Regions from separate parts of the Mus musculus genome. Here regions 2 and 3 are each reported to be linked to region 1. Evidence: microRNA targets listed by miRTarBase, many of them from high-throughput screens and not tested one by one. Region 1 holds a microRNA gene; each other region holds the end of a gene's coding sequence.

Region 1 (7,121 bases):
TGATGTAACTGCACTGAGGGATATAAAGCAGATTTTACTTGAGAAAATTATGTTTTGACACAAAATTGTAAGGATAAATAACTGAACATAAACATTATTCTTGTCCATTTGGTTCTCATAGGGACAATAGGTCAATTCTGAAACTGTTTTATATGTGTTGGTATTGAAGAAATAAACAAATGTATAGTAGGTGTTAGAACACAGTTTTCTCACTGTTAGAGAAGAAATTTATAGGTAAACAGGAATAGAAGACTAGTACTGGATTCATTCATGGTATTGATATGAGGTCATATTTAGCTTAATATACATAAAATAGATTGATAGACAATTATAGATGCATATGTATATATAGAATAGTTCAGCTATATATTACTTAAGTTGTCCATTGAGAAAGTACAGAAACAATGATAGTTGGTAAGATTGGCTCAGATCTTGGTTTTCAAATACATTGTCCCCCCCAATCAATTAATATTCCTTAAAGAAACTGCTGGTGTGAGTTTGGAGTATTTTGAAGTACCAGAAAATTATCAATCTAAGAAGATAAAATTCAAGCTGCATGTCAAGAGGCTACAGAAGCTAATCTGAAAGAATCACTTACGGTCAAAGTAAGAACATTGTGAGCAACAGAACAGATAAGCTAACATCCAAAACACTTCTACCTTCATGCACAGGAATCAAATAGCAGTCAACAAAAGTTGATATTCTTTAAAAAGAACTCCAAATTCTATATTTATTTTTTATAAATTGCTTTAGACAAAAGCGGTGCACACTATTAATCCCAGCACTTAAGAGGCAGAGGCAGGTGGATCTCTGTGAGTTTGAGGTCAGCCTGGTCTACAAAGTGAGTTTCAAACAGTAGTGAGTTCCAGGACAGTCACAACTATACAGTAAGACATTGTCTTAGAAAAACATGAATTATATTTCTACACATGTAAATATATACAAGTATTCTTTATTTCAAGGAGGTTGAACTTAGGTGTGAGTGAATTTCTGAAGCATAGAGAACAGAAAAGAAAAAAACTTCAACTTTCTATTGTGTGAACATGGCAAACCATATTATCAAAGTTAACTACTGATACTGTGTACCACTTTATATATACCTTGATAGTAATGACACTTCATCTCTGTAGTATTTTTTTCAAAACTCACAACAAATTGAGGGACATTGTACAAAACATCTTACAGGTAAACCTAAAAAACTGGCACAGATGAGAAAACTAAGGAAATAGGAAGATCAAAGATTTTCAGTTATCTCTGATCCTGATTTTCTAGATGCTAGCATAGAAAACTGATAAAATCTGGGGTTTTATTTTGAAATTATACCACAGCAATATAAGAGAAAAGAGACAATGATCATGATTTTTTGTACATTGCAATTTTTTATAAATATAGAATTATTCCAATTATTAAAAATTAAACTATAATGGCATACATGAAACATTCACACTCACAAGAGTTCATAGCTTAAACAGTATCTGTTAGATTCCCCCTTTGCATAGGAGGGAAGAATAATCTCTCTTGAAGCCAGAAATTCACTATGTGACTGTGACCTTGAACAATATCCAATTCTAGGCTTGAATTTTCAATATGTACCATAAGGGATTGAACAAAAATGTCTGAAAGGCCAATTCAGCTCTATCCACTCTGGGATTCTTTTTGGCTATGTCAGAAGCTGGAACAGAGACCCAAATCTTCCCTAGGGAGTTGTTTAACAAAACCATCTGCTTTACTAATACAAGATCAAAGTAGAATGTTCAATTTGCCTTCCAGCCACCAGGAATCCTATAGAAATGATTTGTTAAGAAGCAGAATGAAACTTCTATGGTTTTAAATCTCCTATCTGTTTTGTGTTCTCTAGGTGTCTTAATCGGGATTTCTATTCCTGCACAAACATCATGACCAAGAAGCAAGTTGGGGAGGAAAGGGTTTATTCAGCTTACACTTCCATTCTGCTGTTCATCACCAAGGAAGTCAGGACTGGAACTCAAGCAGGTCAGGACGCAGGAGTTGATGCAGAGGCAATGGAGGGATGTTCTTTACTGGCTTGCTTCCCCTGGCTTGCTCAGCCTGCTCTCTTACAGAACCAAGACTACCAGCCCAGAGATGGTCCCACCCACAAGGGGCCTTTCCCCCTTGATCACTGAGAAAATGCCTTACAGCTGGATTTTGTGGAGGCATTTCCTCAACTGAAGCTCCTTTCTCTGTGATAACTCCAGCTGTGTCAAGTTGACACCCAATACCAGCCAGTACACTAGGAAATGAGGGCAAAGTGAAAGCCAATATATAAGCGTGGTTTAAGAAAGGAAAATGGGGAGCTGGAGAGATACTCAGCTGGTAAGAGCACTGACTGCTCTTCCGAAGGTCCTGAGTTTAAATCCCAGCAAACACATGGTGGCTCACAAATATCTGTAATGAGAACTTATGCCCTCTTCTGGTGAGTCTGAAGACAGCTACAGTGTGCCACACCCACTCCAGTAAAAACTGCCTGACAGGCCCAAAAGCTTGGCTACAGTCATGAGGCATAAAGTTTTATGGAAACTTGTCTCCTGGAAAGTTTCTGGTGTCCCATAAACAGATGTGTTTCAGATTCGTCCTTGCAATAGTTGGCGAATGGTTCTGTGTGCTTTCTTTCAGTATTGTTTTATTATAGGTGCCTCCAAGGAATGATTTGACAAATACCTAAATTAGGTTGAACTTTGCTTCCTGGTCTTCACCAACGTCCTAGGCAGTCCTTGAGCTGACCCTGGGCTTGGAATTTAGTAAGAATGTTATCTATTCAGACGAATTGCCTCCAGTATTGAAAGAGAGATAGCAAAAGAAATCGGGCGTTACTATCTACTACATATAGTTAGAAATTTCAGGGCAAGCTTAGCAAAGTAAGTTTAGAATTCTTATTATAGTTATATATGTCAGACTACATTACTTAATAGAAGAAAGTCCCTCACAAAATCACTTAGAATAACAGGCGAGTAACTCCCACATACAGGAATTTACAATTGTTTAGGAAGAAGATCGGGCTGTGATTTAAGGAGGAACTAGTGTGTTGCATTATTCATGAGAAGGTTAGCTAGAGCGGAACTCCCTAGCACATACTTTCACTAGCCCTGGGGAATAGCATAGTTAGGTATTTACTAAGAGCTGGGTGGTGGTGGGCTAAACAATAAATCAGAATTAGAACTATGGCTTGGGCGTGAAAGCCCTTGCCCCAGGAGTGTAACGACCTCACACCTGGCTTCTAAGACTATAGCTGACCTTAGATAGAGCTGACTTTGTCTCAGTTGTTACATTGCCTAGTTCCTGCTGGTCTTTATGTAGGCATTCCTCTGTTTTGTGTAAAGAGTCATTAAGCATCAGGTAACCTCAATGTACCTTGGCTGATGTGTCACCTAACTTCCTTATTTTCTTCTGTGCTGCATAAGAGTGAGAACCTGAGCTTGGGCTCTCAGCATGTATACAATAAAAGCCAGGCATGGCTGGGAGGAAGCCAGAAACCCTAGTGAGGTAGGCACAGGAGAATCAGTCAGTCAGGTTTTCTGACTCTCGTCCTGACTCTATGGTTCTGTGAGAGACCTTAAAACAGGAACAAGGCAGAGAGTGATAACACAAGTCATTTGATGCCCTCCTTTGGCCGCTGTACACACACACACACACACACACACACACACACACACACACACACACTACTATTACTATTACTACTACTAACTTTAAAAATGAAGGTCTTTCTCTGCTCAGGCTAAACTCAGTTTATTCCAAGGAAAAACTCGACCTTCTAGAACCAGAATGTGCTAGCTTCAGATGTTGGCATTACTTTAATGGCTTAATAAGAGATGGCTGAGAAAGATGTGCACCCTCACTTTCGAAGATAGTGACTGTGTGTGATAAATATGTATACTCACACACAGTACACCAACCTCAAAACTAAAGGGCTAGATCACCATCTTAAATATTTTTATTGTATATTTTCTTTATTTACATTTCAAATGTCATCCTTGAACAACATTTAAAGCACCAAACGTTTTCTAGTCTACTCTAGCTGCCTATAGATTAGATTAGAGAAGGAAATAAATCTAAAATTCAGCAGAGATGTCCAAATCTTATCAGCCTGCAAGAAAATGAAAGAGGCTCTTCTACAGAGGGGCATGGTGGAGTGCTATTGTAATTCCAACACTCAGAATGGAGGAAGTGAGTTGAAGATAGAGTGGGTTACACAATGAGTTAGAGGCTAGCCCTAGGCTGCGTGATGAGATAATATTTTGGAAGGGAAGGGATGGGAAAGGAAGGGGAGGGGAGGGGAAGGAAGGGGAGGAGAGGAAAGGGAGGGGAGGAGGAAAGCCAGAATTCTAAGAAACATAAGGTTATTACTAACACATTAAACTTAGTAACGCTTAAACCCAACAGTTTCCCTCAGTCAGAACTTTTAGCAGTTCTCTAAGTGTGACAAACAACCACAGACACTCTGCAATTCATCTAGAGTTCATGAACTTGAAACCAAAGGGTTTTTCTTCAAAGGTTGTTTTTTTTTTTTTTTTTTGGTTTTTTTTTTTTGGTTTTTCGAGACAGGGTTTCTCTGTGTAGCCCTGGCTGTCCTGGAGCTCACTTTGTAGACCAGGCTGGCCTCAAACTCAGAAATCCGCCTGCCTCTGCCTCCCAAGTGCTGGGATTAAAGGCGTGCGCCACCACCGCCCGGCCAAAGGTTGCTTATTAAGGCAGTCTTGTACACATCTTTTTTAAAAGATTATTTATTTATTTATTTATTTATTTATTTAGACGCACCAGAAGAAGGCATCGGATCTCACTATAGATGGCTGTGAGCCACCATGTGGTTGCTGGGAACTGAACTCAGGACCTCTGGAAAAGCAGTCAGTGCTCTTAACCTCTGAACCATCTCTCCAGCCCTGTATACATTTATATAACTGTAATAAAGAGCAAGGCGAACATTTAGGACAAGTTACTATAATTTCTTTCACAATATATTTTTGTTTACTTTCTTCGAATACATCTTCTTCCAGCACAGAAGCTTCAATTATATGATATGCTGGGAACCTCGATCAAGAAAATGCCTCCTTTAATATGGCCTTTAGGCAAGTCTGTGGGGGCATTTTCTTGACTAATGACTGATATAAGAGGGCCCAGGACATGGTTGTTGGTGCTATCCCTAGGCAAGTGGTTCTGGGTTGTATAAGAAATCAGGCTGAACAAGCCAGTAAGTTACACCCCTCCATGGCCTCTGCTTTAGTTTCTGCCCTGACTTTTTTAAATGATTGACTACAAGCTATAAGCCAAAAATTCCTTTCCTCTCCAAGTAGCTTGGTCATGCTACTTAAAAACAAAATGTAATTGTTTATTTTATTAATAAATCCATAATTATAATAACTTAAAATATTTAGTTTCAATGTCCGTTTGCAACAATAACAGGCCTATGTAAAAGGAGAAATCAGAGGGAAAGATGCCTGGAAGAGAAGTATAAAGAAAAGGGAGATAGAAGGAAAAAAAGGAAAACTGGTCAGAAAAAGGAAAATAAAATAGAAAAAAAAAACAGTACAAAATGAGGTAAAAATTACCAAAATACATTATGTTTATATATGAACTTGCCAAATAACAACAATAATAATTTCAAAGGTGGGGTGGAGAGATGGCTACGCTGGGACCAGATTTCAGATTCTTAGAATTCATGGAAATACTTAGTGGGTGTGGTCATAATCCCTAGAGCAAGCTGGCTAGTGAGGGTAGCCATATCTTTTAGCTTTGGATTTGATTCAGAGACCTTGACTTGAGTTGTGGTGAAAGAACATTGAATATCAAATTGAGCTTGGACCTCCACATACATGTGTACACATGTGGACCTGTACCCCCACTCACACATGTAAGCTGCATGCAGATATACATGCATACAGTGTACATAAATGAAAAAAAGGAAACATAAAAAGAAACAAAAAAGATAATAAACTAAGGGATAGTGAAGAAACGTGTTACATGTCGTGAGTTGCCTCATGTGAGTGCTGGGAACCCAACTTCAGCTCTTTGCAACAACAGCAAGTTTTCTCTTCTTAATCTCTGAGCCATCTCTCTAGATCTCTAAATTCCTCCTTTTACTTATTTAGTTATTCATTTTTTAAGACAGAATTTCCCTATGTAGCCCTGACTGTCCTGGGACTCATAGAGATCTGCCCATGTCTGCCTCTCAAGTGCTGGGATTAAAGGCATGCACTACTATGTCAGGGATTTTTGTGGCAACCTTGTAGGAGGACCAGCAGTCTCAATTAACCTGGACCCCTGAGATCTCTCAGACACTTAGCCAACAACCAGGCAGCATACACCAGCTGATATGAGGCCCCCAACACATATAAAGCAGAGGTCTGGGTCTAGTCAGAGATGATGCACCTAACCCTCAAGAGACTGGAGGTCCTAGGGAGTTTAGAGGTCTGGTGGGGTAGTGGGTGGGGACATCCACGTGGAGACGGGGTGTGGTGGGGAGGAGGTATGGGATGTGGAGAAGTCAGAGGGTGGACCAGGAGGGGGAATAAAATCTGGAGTGTAAGTAAGTAAATAAATAAAACCATTTGTAATTCTTTAAGAATTTCATATATCTACACAATGTATTTTGATCATATTCTGGGAGGGGGAATAAAATCTGGAGTGTAAATAAATAAATAAATAAATAAACCATTTGTAATTCTTTAAGAATTTCATATATCTACACAATGTATTTTGATCATATTCATTCCCACTTGTTCCCCTAAAGCCTTCCAGATCCACCAGCCCATCCCCTCCCAATTTCATATAATGCTAAAAAAAAACCTACTCTAAGTTCAATTCGTAAGGCCATCCTCTGAAGTACACATACCCCTAAGTTCTACAGTTTAATGTTCACTCAATCTAACAGCTTTGACATATGCCATGGACCCACTTTCGTATGACTTCGCTGTCCTAAAATTTCCCTGTGCAGTATTTATTCCTTCCCCCCAAATCCTGCAATTATGAAAATTTTTATTGTCACCACAGTTTTAGTTTTCAAGCATATTGTATTAGTTGGAATTATACAGTATAAAGACTTTTCAGACTAAATTATTTTATTCAGTAATATGTATTTAAGATTTCTTTGTGTCATTTTGGCTTGA
Region 2 (7,121 bases), not on the chromosome of region 1:
CTAACTTACCTGAACAAGAAACCTCTTAGACATCCCTTCATTTTTGTTGGTTTTGCTTTGTTCCCTGGTGTTTTCTCTTGATACCTCAGGACATTTTAGATGAGATGAGAAAAGAGCTGGCAAAGCTGAAGGAGGAGCTTATTGACGGTGAGTACCTGGCGCATGCACGTCCCTGTAGACAGCTGTGAGACTGACTTCACACTCGGGGGGGGGGGGGGGGGGGGGAGGGTTGCTAGCCTTTGCTCAGGTTGTTGGAAAGCTGCTGTATTTTTATCATTGGAGTTATTTGTAAAAATGAAAATAAACAGATTTCTAAGTGTCAAGTGTAGAATTTGGTGTAATAATACCAATCAGGCAGATTTTTCTCTCCACTCGTCCATTTCCATTGAACTGCCCTTGTTTTTGAGCCCACAGAACCAGTGTTCCTGTCTTAAATCTACAAGGGAGGGAGTAAGTGGACATAGTCGTGTGTGATTAGTATCTTTATAAATTAAACATCTGTGCAGTGAAGATGTAGATCCTGTATCTTTGTATGAAACAGTTAGAACAGAACCTTGAAAGTTGTTCAGGAGCGACCCGTTCCTCTGTATCTCCTCTGGTGGATTGACTCTGGAAACCGTTTCTTCCCTGTTGTAGCAATCAGGCAGGAGCTGAGCAAGTCGAACACTGCATAAAGAAGCAAACTACGGAGGGGCAGGACTTGAATCTGGAGAAAACAAAAATTCCTACAAACAACTCTTAACCCCCAAACTTTTAAGCTGTAAGAAGAAAATGGATACACAGTCAGGAGGGAAGCCGTCAACCTCTGAAAGCCTCAGACAGTGACTCTGGCGATCAGCTGTCCCCTCAGTGTGCTGCTTTATTCTGTCTGACCTTTACCACAGGATGGAGAATGATATTGGAGTTCCCTTAGCAGTACTAAACCCGTCAGGCAAGATCACCGTGCATTGAAATATTTTCATGTCTAGATGAGTCTGCACGTTTTCCATAATCCATTGCTAAAATAAAGACGAGAAAGGCTTCAGAGATTTTTTTCCAGAGGGCGCTGATGAAGAATTTGATTTAGTAAGTTCTGCTGTTGCGTTGTAAATGTTTCTCTCAGGTTTGTCTTCCTATCATATTTGATATTCCGTGAACACTAAGATCATAAAGGATGGAACAAACGGAGTTGTATGTGCTTTCAGAGGGTGGTGTTTAATACGAAAGGTCCCAAAATGTTTAGTCCCACTTGAGGAATTTTAGAATGATAGGAAGTCTCTCGGGTTAGCCTTCATGCAATTTTGTAGTTTAAAACATAAAGTCCGTCCAGAAATTAAAGATTTAGATGCCTTCCTAAATTGTTACAATGCTTTACCAAATCTATGACTTCTACATAACCAACAGTGGTCAAATGGAAAACATTCTATTATAGATTTACTGTAGGTTTTCAACCTTTTTTAGACATATGCATGTGGACATTTTTATAATGTAATTACAATCACCACAAAGTTAGCTTTTTTAATTACAGACAATAATGCATGTCACACTAATATGTAGTGGCCTTTTCAGGGCCTAGTCCCAGGGAAAATATTTTGTAGAATATAGGGAAGTGGGAGGAAGGGAAGGAATAACTTTTTATTTAAAGTTAATTTCTGCACTATCTTTTTTTTCTCAATTATCTGCATGAATTATAATGAAAAATATTTTGTGACTTTAATCAGTAAACATGTTAACAAAACCAAGTACTTAATCTTTTACATCATGTCTTCAGCTATTTGTATTTTAACCAGCAATTTCAACGGTCTGAAACATGATTCTGAGCGTAACATGTGAGTCCGTCTCACTGTGGAACTCACGAGTTTGATCACTGAATTTGGCAGTTATTTTCACGCGGCCCCCACAGTGCTGCAGTGCTTGGGTTCACGCTCCTGACTCTGCGGCTGCTCCTTGACCTTTGCTGTGCTAAAATACAAGAAATATCAATAATGGCAGCAACCAGGGTCACATAAGTCACTAGGTAAGGGAGACCAATGAGGAGTTCTGCAGCTTTCTTTTAATAGAACTAAAGTGAGGCTTAAGTGGTAGGGAGTGTCTGCTGTTACACCCTGAGTGTGTGTGTGTGTGTGTGTGTGTGTGTGCGCGCGCGCGCGCGCACACACACACACACGCACACAGGTGAGAGAGAGAGAGAAAGTGATCGAGCTTAAGAGTGTGTGATAGATATTATGTTCCACCCCTTTATAATTGGCAAGATTAAAATAAGGGAGAAAATTTTATATGTTGTAATGTTAGCTTTTTGGAAAATCTAGGAAATCAAAAATTCTCCAGGCTGTCCATCATGATTTATGCTTGAGTTATTAATGTGCCATATTTGCTTTGGAATCTTTGGCTATCAAAACTTTTGCTAAAAAAATAGTAGATACAATCCACTTTGATTTGCTTTCTAGATTTCCTATGTCTCAGCTGTAAAGCAAAGCTTGATGAGAGTAGTTTTCTAAACCCTGCAGTTTGCAGCTAACCCCACTGCAGAGCCGTGTGAATGAGGGGTTTTGTTAAGAGTGTTTGTTTCTGTAGAAACTTCATCTTTAGATTAAAGTGTGAGGGATGAGCGGTCATAAGTCAATTCTGTGGCTTTCTCTACCCATCAGTCGTCGTCTCGCAGGAATAGTAAAGGCATTAAGGATGCGGCAAGCATGTACGCTGTTCTAAAAGAAGTATGCATCTCATTTACTGTTGAACGTTTGATTACGCAACTACTTTGATTGTGTACGTGTGTACATCCCTTACAGATCTGATCAAAAATCGCTTTTCATTTTGTTGCTAATGTTAAATAGTCTGTAGTACGTAGAGTACTGGGTCTAGATGGTCCAAAGTGAGACAAAAATGCTGAAGTCAAATGCTAAGTCCTAAACAAAGCTGGTTTATGCACTAAACGTTTTGTGCCTTGGTCTAATATTTAACACAATGTCTGTAAAAATGACAAAAAAAGAAAAAAAAAGAACCGACATTGGCTCATGCTGTATCTGTATCCTCCATGATAGTACGTCCTCCCACATGACTAAATGTGCTCCTACCTGGATGCTTCACTGTCACCCAGGACAGTCGTGTCGTCGCTAGAGATTTCAGTGACTACAATCGCAAGCTAAAGCTTGAGTTGTTTTCCCAAAACTGTTCCTTGGAACCATATTGTGACGGTGGGTCCTTGCTTCTGTGTGTTGACTGTCTTCAGCTGAGTCCAGTTTAGGGATCGTCTGTGATGACAGGAAGGCTCTGCTCTCCTCAACACTGTGATCTGACCTGCGACAACTCTACAATACACTCTGAATGGCTAGCACGTCCATAGCAAACAATCTGAATGTACAAACCTTAGCGTGGTGCTGAAATCTCTTGAGAATAGTAACCGTGATCTCAAAGTCTGTTCAAAACGTGTCAATCAGAACTGAAGATGAACCGCTGATGAATGTCCGGTCCTCATGCCGCAGGCGTGTTTCCTGTCTAGGTTTTCAGTTCTCTGCTGTTACCACCATAGCTGTTCCAGTTAACTCTCCTACACACTAACTTCATTTGTGCGATTGAAATAAAATTGCAGTATGTGCATGTTTCTTGTTTGTGACACTTAGATGGTCTTCTGCAATGATGTGTTAATTCCAAACCAAGTGATACTGGGTGTGAAATCAGCACCTTAGGAAGCCCAGGGTTTCACTGTTTACAGTTTAAACATCATGTCACTGTTCTTTAAAGATTTCATCCACGTCTGGCGTAGTGGAAAACACGAAGGGAATATGTAATGATCTTTCTACCTTTTGTTTTGCAGTAAGCGCTGTGTGCCTCTTCTGTCTTACATGCTCCCAGCACAGCTTGTAGTCAATGTGGTGAAAAGTGTTTTACTCCATTCTTTTGTCCTATAACACAGTCATATATATATTTCACTTCATTTACACGGTTCATTTTTTTTCTTTATGTAATTTGCATATTAAAGGATATTGCCAAGTAATTAACTTTAAATGTAGCAGTCTGTACCCTCTACAGTGATCTCTTTATGTTGGCTTTTTATATATACTTATATATATGTCTCAGCACCTTTATCTATTACAAAGTTCCATTTTCCAAACTTGTAATTTCCTCATTAGAAGTACAACTCTGTCTGTGTGTGTGTGTGTGTGTGTGTGTCTGTGTGTCTGTGTGTGTGTGTGTGTGTGTGTGTCTGTGTCTGTGTGTCTCTGTGTGTGTGTGTGTGTGTGTGTGTGTGTGTGTGTGTGTGTGTGTGTGTGTGTGTGTGTGTGTCTTTCCCCCTTTATCAGACCTCGGCATCTCTCCCAAGCTCCTCCGTCCTCTTTGTGCTTCCTGTTCCTGGCATTAATTTGCATTTGCAACCACCTTGTGTTGCTCACTGTTGTGAAGACAGCCAGCTGATTTTTCTTTTGGTTCCAACTTACACTCCTGCTTTATCTACAAATTAAAGTCACTTAAATTCGAAAATGAATTAAGTAGCAAGTCCTAAGCTTTTCCATTTGCTTAGCTAAAATTACTGTCTCTTAACTTTTGCCCATCTTTGCAGTGAGGCTGTGAAGAATTCATGTTTGTACGATTCAGGGCTTGCCAGGCAGGGCTGCAGGAACTGTTTGATTTCTTGTCGCCATGAGAATTACTTAAGCCCTTTACCACGGTCTTTAATCCTATGGGCGTATCTGTAATCCAGCATCCTGGAGACAGAAACAGGAGGATTGTGGATCTGATGTCAGGCTGGGATGCATAGAGAAACCGTGTCTAAAACAAATCAGTAAAATCCTATGGGTCGTAAGCATAAAAACGCGGAGCATAAAGGAACTCAAGATGAACATAAAAAGCAGAGTGTAGGGGGGTGTCTGTCCCTTTATCACACTAGAAAGCCCACTTCCAAAGGCAGAATAGTTTTCACTTCCAGACTCAACCTGTTCTGGTGACGGCATTTTTGTTTTTAATACAATTGGTATCTGATCATCTCCCCAGAGCTCTGTGACTCTTTGGTGAGAGGCATTTACTGTTTTATAAGTTCAGTTCCTTTTTTTTTTTTTTTTTAATCAAAACTTGTTGTATTTTAAAGAATCTGACTAAACAGTTATTCTGGTCAGTACTTCATGTGAAGATCCTGGAGAACATGTACGTACAGGAATCGCTTTCAGTTAAGCATACGCCTGTTTGAGAAACTAAAATCGTCAATCTCTCAAGAGAAGCCATTTATTTATGCCAAATATTCTTGGGGTTGAGGGCGGGGATATGATATAGTCTTTCTATTCCCAACATCAAAATAGGCTCTGCACTAAATCTTGTTCCCTTATGTTTACCTTGGTGGCTTTTTGAAGTACCAAGCTTCTTTCTAAAGCCTCTTTGTGGGTGAATGTGAGAATGAGCATGTAGAAACCAGTGTTCAACCTTGGCACCCACCTGCTTTGAGACAGGGTCACAAATTCAGCTAGACCTGCTGGCAGTGAGCCTCAGGAGATCCTGTCTGCTGCTTGCTGCTGGGTTGCCTAGCTTGTACCACCACGCCCAGCTGCTCTGTTTTACATGGATTCTGGAATCTTAACTGATGACCTTGTGCTTGCAAGGGAGGCAGACACTCTTCCAATTCAGCTAGCTTTCTAGCCCTGCCCCCCCCCTTTTTTTTTTCTTTATATCTTAATGCTGGAACAATGAAAGATTCAAAATTTAAACATTAAGATTGATTAGTTGATTAGAAAAGAAAGTAAAATGGTACAGTAAAATTACCATTTACAGACAGGGGCCTTCTATCGGTACAATATTAATGAATACCTCACATAAGGAAGATGGGGCTTTAGGATAAATTTGAAAATTGTTGAAGTATGAACTATGTTAATTTGTAAAGCAACCGTCACTGAAGGGTAGAAAGTGACTTGGTTACTGTGACTTGATGTTAAAAAGAATTTTCTACAATCATTGGTTCTATTTGTTGAAATTGTAAAGATAGGGATTGTGTGAGGAGGAGAGGGTTTGGGAAAGGGCGTTTCCCTTCGGTTATAGATGCTCTGTTGTAGAACTCCCTGAGCACCTGTAGGTTTCCAGTGCTTGCTCATTAACATAGAGAATAACTGAAAACTGAAGCTTTGGTTAAGTGCTTGAACCAGAGATCAGTCACCACACCCTACCTAGTTTGAAGCTTACTGGGTATTCCAATAAAGAGCTTTTAGAAGTTTTTGGTGTGGAACCCCAGGATTCCTGGATAAAGGAGGCCCAGATAAGAGCGGAGAGGGAGGAGTACTTGACTCTCTTGAGTTAGGAAACTCAAGAGCATGGTGAACTCATCACTAAATCCAGCCTTTTCTAAACAAAAATTAAACAGAGTTAAAAGAATTTCACATTCTAATAAAAGTTAGAAATGTCCATGCACTTCATTGAAGAGCTATTTGTAAGTGACAGTCTCCATTTAGCCCGTAAATATGTCTCAGCTGCCCCCTTCTGAGTCCAGAAAGATGTCCTTAGCAGTAGAAACAGACTCCTTCAAAAGAAAATTACATGTCTAATACAGGCAGTGAGTGATGTTGCCGATAGATAGGGTGTTAGCCGGCGCTGGGTGTCGCAAAGGAAATAAAACCCCAGGGAAAGAAGTGTGCATCGAGTCTGGCTCTGGGATTCATCCCTGTTGTGGTGGGAATACACAGTGTGTATGAGGTCCCTAGTATTGAAAAAATCAAAATGCAGCTTTAATCATGAAGTAAGTAACACAGGAACCTTTTTCAAGTTTGATACCTAAGGAAAAAAAAATGTTTGAAATTCAATATTCTCTAGTCAATTCTGTCTACCCAGCCTTCCTATAAAGTTTTGGTTTGTTTTTGTTTTGTTGTTTTTAAGATTTTAAACTTCTTTTAGTAGAGACATAGAAGATTGTCATTCCATGGCCAAGTTTCACCTAGGTGAGTTTTGGCATTTGATATTCTAACTTCTGGAATTTCTCTGAGTATTTTGATCCTCAGTTCTGAGGTCTGTCTGTTTGGGGGTGGGGCGGTTGTCTTTAAACCACAAGCCCTACATGATGCCAAAGCCACCAGGCCTCTCTTGTGTATCAGGAGTAGAACTAAGTTGGCTTAGCCCTTTGGGGACCAACCTTGTTGCGTAGTGTGTGGTACCAGCTTTGCGCTTTGCCT
Region 3 (7,121 bases), not on the chromosome of region 1:
TGAAACATTCATGTAAATAAAAAGAAATGTCAAGATCCACATGGCTTAGGACCCAGATCCCTGACTGGGGCGTTGAATGAAAAAGGAACAGACACACAGACAGAAGAATGAAGACAAGACAGACAAACAGACACATGTATAGTGAAGCTGGGATCAAGTGGGATGCTCTAACTGATACCTCCCCAGTCTGGAACCCTCAGAGTGTTCATTAGGTACACCACGGGAGGCTTGGCTAGTTTGGGGAGAAAGTCTCCTTAGGTGAGCAGCCTCAGGCTGTAAACATCCTGGAGCAGGAAGCTGCAGTTGCACACACTGATCAATGTCCATAAACACTCGTGATCAATTGTCCATAAACACCCTACTCCGATTCCCCAGGAAAGCTTTGCCACTCCTCTTGAGCCTGGCCCATATGGGTAACAGCTTTGTCAACTTGGCCTTGGAGTTCTGGACGTGGCTGTGCCCATGAGTCAAAATAGACTCATTTAGGACTCTTCTAGCCCCAGGCAAAGGAGTAATTCAACAAGAGTCAGCAACTAGAAAAGGAAGTCAGGTTGGCATGAAGACTGCTGAAGGCCTTAAGAGGCTTTCCCTGTAATGGCCACCCCTGATGGAACAGAGCACTTAACTCCAAACTGTATTACAAGGTGGGCATGGTGCCACTCAGGAGTCTATGCAGGAGAACTGAGAACTCAGGGACAGGCTGGACTACATAGGGAAGCCCCGACTCTCAAGTACAGCAACTTCTGTTACAAAGGCAAGGTTCATGTGAACTCCATAAAGGCCTCATCCTTTTCAGGAAGGGGGCTTTTCCAGACAGGGTCTTGTAGGCTCTCATGCCCTTTAACTCAGTAATTTTCTTGCCTTAACCTCCCAAGAAGCCACAAATATCAAAAGAACAGTATTTTTTTTCCCAGTACTAGGAATTGAATCTAGCACCTCATGCTGAGCAAATGATCCACCAGCGTGCTATCCTCACCCCAAGTTAAACAGTCTTTTTTTTTAATTCTCATAACAGACCTGGTAAAGAAAATTGGCAATTGCCAGCCATGAAGCCCAGATGTCTTTGAATATGAAAGCTATGCTCCGATGGCAGCTGGACACCTACCAGTTTAAAACATGTTTGTTAAAACAATCCACAGGAAAAAGCCAAGGCTTAAAAGAACACAAAACAAGGACAAATAATGACTGGGCTGAGGAGAGATTGGGGAAGTCCTAGATGACTCAGCCCGGTGTACCCTGCTATATATAGTAGGCCTCCTCCAACATATCCCAGGAGGAGAAGCAACTGCCACGGACGGGAATCATAGTAAGAGATTCTGACCTCAGGAGATAGGAAATGCTTCAGTCACTGCCCTAGTGTGCTTACTATTGCTGTGATAAACACTGTGACCAAAAGCCACCTAAGGAGGAAAGGGTTTACTATACTGTTAAAGAAACACAAGCGCACGCATGCGCGCGCGCGCACACACACACACACACACACACACACACACACACACCACACACACACACACACACACACACACCACACACACACACCACACACACACACACACACACCACACACACACACACACACACACACACACACACACCACACACACCACACACACCACACACACACACACACACACACACACACACACACACACACACACTGATTAAGTAGAAACCACACCCAAACACCTGTTTTCACAGAGAAACCCTCTATTAATCGAGGAAGAAAAGTTAATGTCGCTGCTTTCTACCCCAGGCAGAAAAACAGCAACAAACGACCTTGCAGGTGTAGTTTTTAAGAAGAGAAAAAGGGGAGGTCTGCGTTCGAATGGGCTAGGATTCAGTGGTGTATCTTGATTGGGCATGTCAATTAGGTGAGCCAAAGAGGGGCTTTTGATTGCTGGACTCCAATACTTTGACAGCTGGGCTTTGCTCGGCAGTCTCAGGAGGAGGAAGTGACCAAATAAAGGCATATACCTTGGTGACTAGCTTTAGGGATGTAATCTAACAGCTTTTAGCAAGGCAGAGGTGATGCAAAAGAAGGTCAAGGTCTGCCAGAGCCATGTTTGCCAGGCCCAAGCTGGCTAGAGTACCTTCAATTATAGCTTGCAGGTCACCATATTAAACAACCCAGGACTAATTACCCAGAGGTGACATTGCCCACGCTAAGATAGGTCCTCCCACATCAATCATTAATCAAGAAAGTGACCCCACTGACCTGCCTGGAGGTCAATCTCAATTAAGGTTCTCTCTTTCCAGAAGATTCTACCTGGGTCAGGTTGACAGAAAACTAACCACTGCTGTCAGTTACGTTGTCTAAAAAGAGAGTTGATGGGAGGAAGATAGTGAGCTCCTGGACTCCGGGCTTTCTCAAACACAGACCAGATAAAAATAGACAAGACTGAGCAAGACACTCTAGTGGACACAATGACCTTGAGGGGTCTTCAGGACTGGGGTTATGAGTCCTCTACTTACAAGAAAGAAAAGCCCAAAGGATTTCCTGTATTTACTCAGGGGAGAAATTCCTCACCATGAGCGCATGTATTCTTTATTGCTGTAGAAGAAATATCCCATCAGAAAACAGGCTCGGTCACCTTACTTATTATCTTTATATGCTCTATGATCTGTCTGACGTCTCTCGTAGGCTCTGTGGCAAGATGAAAAATGTTCTCTCTGGCTTACTCGGCAGTTAGATTGCTTAAGGACATTAATGAATCTAGCAGTAGAGTTCACCAATCTTTCTTGAACTTCGCTATTTCAGCTGAATCATGCTGCATCAGCAAATACATCTCCATTTCTGGCCTAAAGATCTGAGAGCCAACCTCTGAAATTTAGTGGTCCATCGGTGTGTGTCCACCTGCTTACAGCAGCTGTGTCTGTCTGTGCTGCACTGTGGGGCAGCTGGTGCTCGGCCTGTGCCTCTCTGCCTTTGCATCTATAACCTCATTAGCAATTACTGTAACTGTGACAATTGAGAACATAATGTAACCAAGTGGCCTATTAAGAAACAGAGCTAATTTTGTTTTCATTTGATTCAATTATTTGCTACTGTAGACCAATTAGGAAAAAATGAAAACTAACATTCTACCTTCTTGGAAGTTCGCCAAGTCTTTGGGTTTCTAGAAATTTCTGGAAATTAAGAACCTAGACCTTTTGGGTACAAAATATTCTTCTAAGGCCTTCCTTTTGTTTTGAGTTAAAAGAGAGAAGTCAGGTGGATTCCTAGGGATTTGAAAAGTCGAGGCTTTATTTTTCCTGTCCCTGTGAGTGGCAGATTTCTGAAAGTAAAGGCAGCAACCTGGTGTGGTGTGGTGTGGTGTGGTGTGGTGTGGTGTGGTGTGGTGTGGTGTGAATGCTAAGGTTTGGGAGCCTGCAGGAGGAGCCTCCAATTTCCCCCTGTGCCCCAGACCAACAAAGTCAAGTGAATCAACTGTTCCCTTTCTGGAAAGTCAAACCAAGCTGACAGAGTTGTGGAATGTTGGATGAAGCAGCAGCTAGGACACTGGTACCCCAATAGTGACACCATGTGGTCAGAAGGAGCACCAGCAGCACAAAAACAATGAGTGGAACTTCCTCCAGTGCAGTTGTCAGTCTGGCAGAGTGGGGTGAGGTAGCAACCACAACCACGACCAGGTCATAGAGCATTGAGGACTGAGCAAGTAGTGCTCTGGACCCTGAAACAGGTGTGCCTTGCTGAGTTTTCTAGGAGATGAGATTTAGATCACGTAGCTCAACACGACAACATAGTTTCAGTACAATGAGAGCTCTTGGGGCTGGACCCTGAGCCCACATGCTTGTGTTTTCATGCAGTTCATAAGCATAGCTTGAAGGGAATTTCTGTATAAAACATTTGGTGCAACAGCATTCCCATAGTGACCTGTCACATGAGGTGAGGTGTGATCTCCCACTTGTGACATCATTTCAGTGCTCGGAGTTTTTAACCAGAGACCGTCTTGCGTGAGGACACCCAGCAAGAGACAGAAGGAACCAACTCACAAGAGGTCTTCAGGGACAGTGGGAAGCTTTAGCTCTATTGTGAAGGTGATAAGAGACAATAAGGGGGTGAATCGGGAGACTGGCAGGATATGGCAGGCAGTCTAACCCTGGTCCCGTGAAAGACTGCCTAAAAGGGCTACAGATAAGAATGTGAACGGGGAGTCAAGTCCATGATCATTGCTTCCTTGTGTGAGGGAGCGACAGAATCGTTTATCCAACCAGAAAGCTTAACTTTAATTCTGAATCATACTCAGCAGGGCCTGCCACATAGTAGGCACTCAATAGATGACTGTTGGTTTTGAATGGAGCTTATTCAAAAGCTATAAAAGAATATAGGAGCTGGAGAGATGGTTCAGCAGTTAAGGACATCCATTGCTCTTGCAGAGGACCTGGGTTCAGTTCCTAGCTCACAACTATCTGTCACTCAGTTCCAGAAGTCCCAGTGCTCTCTTCTGGCTTCTGTGGGCATTAGGCATACATGTGGTGCACATACATACATGCAGGCAGAACACAGAAAATAAACCTAAAAAGAATGTTTTAAATTAGAAAATAAAGGGCCAAGGATGGCCCCAGGGGTAGGAATGTGTGTGTGCATAAACCTGGTGATCCGAGTTCAGTTCCCACAGCGGGAAAAGAGAGCAACCAGGAAAAGTTGTCCTATAACCTCCACACATATGCAGAGATACAATGCTTCTGTTTGTTTGTTTAATATGATAAAAAACAAACTTCCAGAGTCACTGGGCAACTTCTGTCCCTTAAGTGACATAAGAGAGCAGGTTGTCTCCCAATCACATGCACGTCTTCTGTGTGTGCCATCTGGCCCAGAAGTACCCACTGGTGTCTCAGCCATTCCTCAGATCTAGTCACAGCACCCATAGCAGCTCCACCAGATGTGTGGGCCAGCTGCTATCTGTACACCCGTAGTAAGACATCATGAGCAACCAGCTGTGCTTCTGCCCTACCTGGCCAAGGAGTGAGAAGCTTGGCCGACTTCAAGCAGCTGGGCTTACACGCAGACCCCTTTCCTAAGAAGGTAGTAGCTAATCCATCACACACACACACACACACACACACACACACACACCGTGCCCACTGGTATTTATGATGACTGCGCTTGTGCTGGATATGGGAGTGCCCACATAAATGGTGGTGAACATCAAACATTCCAGAATATTTGAAAGTCCATGAGACTGACATGACATGTCCCCTCAACGGGGAATTAACACTGCAGTTTCTCTATTATGCATCAAGTGGGAAATTAATTCTGCATGCTATACTAACTACTGAGAAGATTGGTTTTTAAATTTTTAAAATGGGTGCCGGCTTTTGGCCTGAAATGAGGCAGATTGTGGCAGCAGGCATAGCATCCATCTGTCTGCTTTCTCCAACTAAGTCTAACCTCCTTCTTTTCTCTGTCTCCCAATAAGACTGACATACTATGGATAAATCAAGGGCATACTCCATTGATTAGATCACAAGCCATTCTAACACACACACACACACATACACACACACAGAAAGCTAGCAAGCTCCCAACAATGAGCCTTCAGGGAACCTTTCAGATTCAAACCCTAACAAGATCTAAAAAACATGGAGGTCCTATTTTTTTTTTATTTTATGCATTGACATGAAGACACAGTCAGTTCGTCACACTCATTGTGAGAGATGCTCGATTCTAGGAGGCCTGGATTCTCTCAACCTATCAGATTACTCATTTGGTTTTGAAAACAATGAGTGCTTTGTGTGCTTTGTTTTGTTTTGTTGGCAGAAGGAAAGTAGACCAAGGGCTGTTTTTGGATTGCTTTCTAAATGCACCCCAACCCAATGGTGTGAGCTGTCTGTGAGTGTCAGACACCAGAAGTAGGAAGAGTGCATTAGCTGACATTAACTAGGGCGTTTTCTTCAAAGAACTGCATACTGCCCCGCCCCAGGCCGGGCCCCAAAGTTGTACTTATGTGTCCCCAAGAGGAATGTATTTAAGCAGTAAGTGGCCAATATTTCTCCGTGCCAATGGAGGACCCAGGATTCGGTGAAAAGTGAGAACGTTTGTCATTCAGCCCATTCCTTCCCCAAGCCATGCGCATTGTCGCTCGCCCTTTCTCATTGAGTCTGGGTTAGAGAAAATTGCTTTTATTGGTGGTGAACCTAAATTAGGCTGAAAGCTCCTCTGTCAGAGGACACAGGGTTCAGACTGGAAAGCCAGGAAGGAAGCTTTGGAGCTGGGCAGTGGATGCAGGATTCTCTCCTTATTTGGATGTAAGTGCTGCACTCTATAAGTACTTATTTTGGGACAAGGCTTAAGCACCGAATGGGACAGGCAGCCCCAGGGATCAGGCTGCGCTCTCTATTTGAAGCACGGGTTTCTCAGGATCTTCCTTGGTAGGTTGAGGAGGTTCTGGCTCCAGGGCAGTCTCGAGCTCGGACTCCATTTCAGGCTGAGCTGCAGGCTGGCCTTCTGATGGGCCTTCAGAGCTCCGGACAGGCCCTACGCGTGGCGGCTTGACTGGTGTGGGCTGTGCTGCTTTACGACTGGAAAGAGCCCTTTTCAGGCTTTGAACTTTCTGTAAACCAGTGCGGCGCAGCCGCTGAGCCCTGGACTCCACTGGCTCCTCTTCAGAACTCTCTCCAACTTCATCCTCTGGCTGATCTGGGCCCAGCACCAACTGGTCCTCCGGACCCAAGAGCTCTGGGACTTTCTGGAAGGCGCGGGCTGGAATTTCAGTCTCCTCCTAAATGTGATGACACAGCTTTTGATTCTCTGATTTGACCCTGGCACTTAGCCAGGACCAGCCTGAAACTCTCTTGCCCGCCCGCCAAGGGAAGCTACTCCACCCTTTGCATCTGCACTAGGAATTGGGGCCAAAATAGAGGAATGGGAAGATGGGGGATGGGGAGGATGGAGGAGCAGAGAGATGAGCAAAGAGGGGGAAAGTGGACCTTGCAAGTTTGCAAAGTGGATGAAACCGTGTAGAGTGTAACAGCTGTATAGGCGCTTGGAGGAGGCAGAGTAACACCTAACAGTTAGTTCCATGTGGGTGCGACTGACCAAATCCGCAGACTGGCCTGAGTTAGGGAGGGCGTGGGTTGGCCAGGCTGGGAGTGAGAAAGGGATAAGGTCGCTGTTGTGA

Evidence for each region. Region 1 holds the annotated microRNA mmu-miR-672-3p (ACACACAGUCACUAUCUUCGA, at 3,860-3,880, opposite strand). A microRNA usually pairs through its seed, bases 2 to 8, with sites in the 3' UTR of a target mRNA and lowers its output. Matches are read on the target gene's strand: a 7mer-m8 pairs with bases 2 to 8, a 7mer-A1 pairs with bases 2 to 7 and ends in A, and an 8mer does both.
Region 2: the mRNA of Enah is a reported target of mmu-miR-672-3p. Seed matches in the 3' UTR shown: 7mer-A1 at 2,190-2,196, 7mer-m8 at 3,188-3,194, 7mer-m8 at 3,800-3,806, 7mer-m8 at 4,124-4,130, 7mer-m8 at 4,150-4,156, 7mer-m8 at 4,158-4,164 and 3 more.
Region 3: the mRNA of Cavin3 is a reported target of mmu-miR-672-3p. The part of its 3' UTR that is shown has no 7-base or 8-base seed match.

Annotation. Positions count from the first base shown.
Region 1 is chrX:104,112,333-104,119,453 of GRCm38, forward strand. Mir672 (microRNA 672) reads right to left here and starts at 3,942; the gene lies at 3,843-3,942. The region is part of intron 1 of Nexmif (neurite extension and migration factor); the gene reads right to left.
Region 2 is chr1:181,899,413-181,906,533 of GRCm38, reverse strand. Enah (ENAH actin regulator) reads left to right here. Exons shown (of 15, transcript NM_010135.3): 14 at 90-147; 15 at 637-7,121. The coding sequence ends at 674. Among named protein-coding and RNA genes, the nearest start is that of Gm33669, 24 kb to the right of the region's middle.
Region 3 is chr7:105,474,498-105,481,618 of GRCm38, forward strand. Cavin3 (caveolae associated 3) reads right to left here. Exons shown (of 2, transcript NM_028444.1): 2 at 6,119-6,722. The coding sequence ends at 6,324. Among named protein-coding and RNA genes, the nearest start is that of Cavin3, 4.1 kb to the right of the region's middle.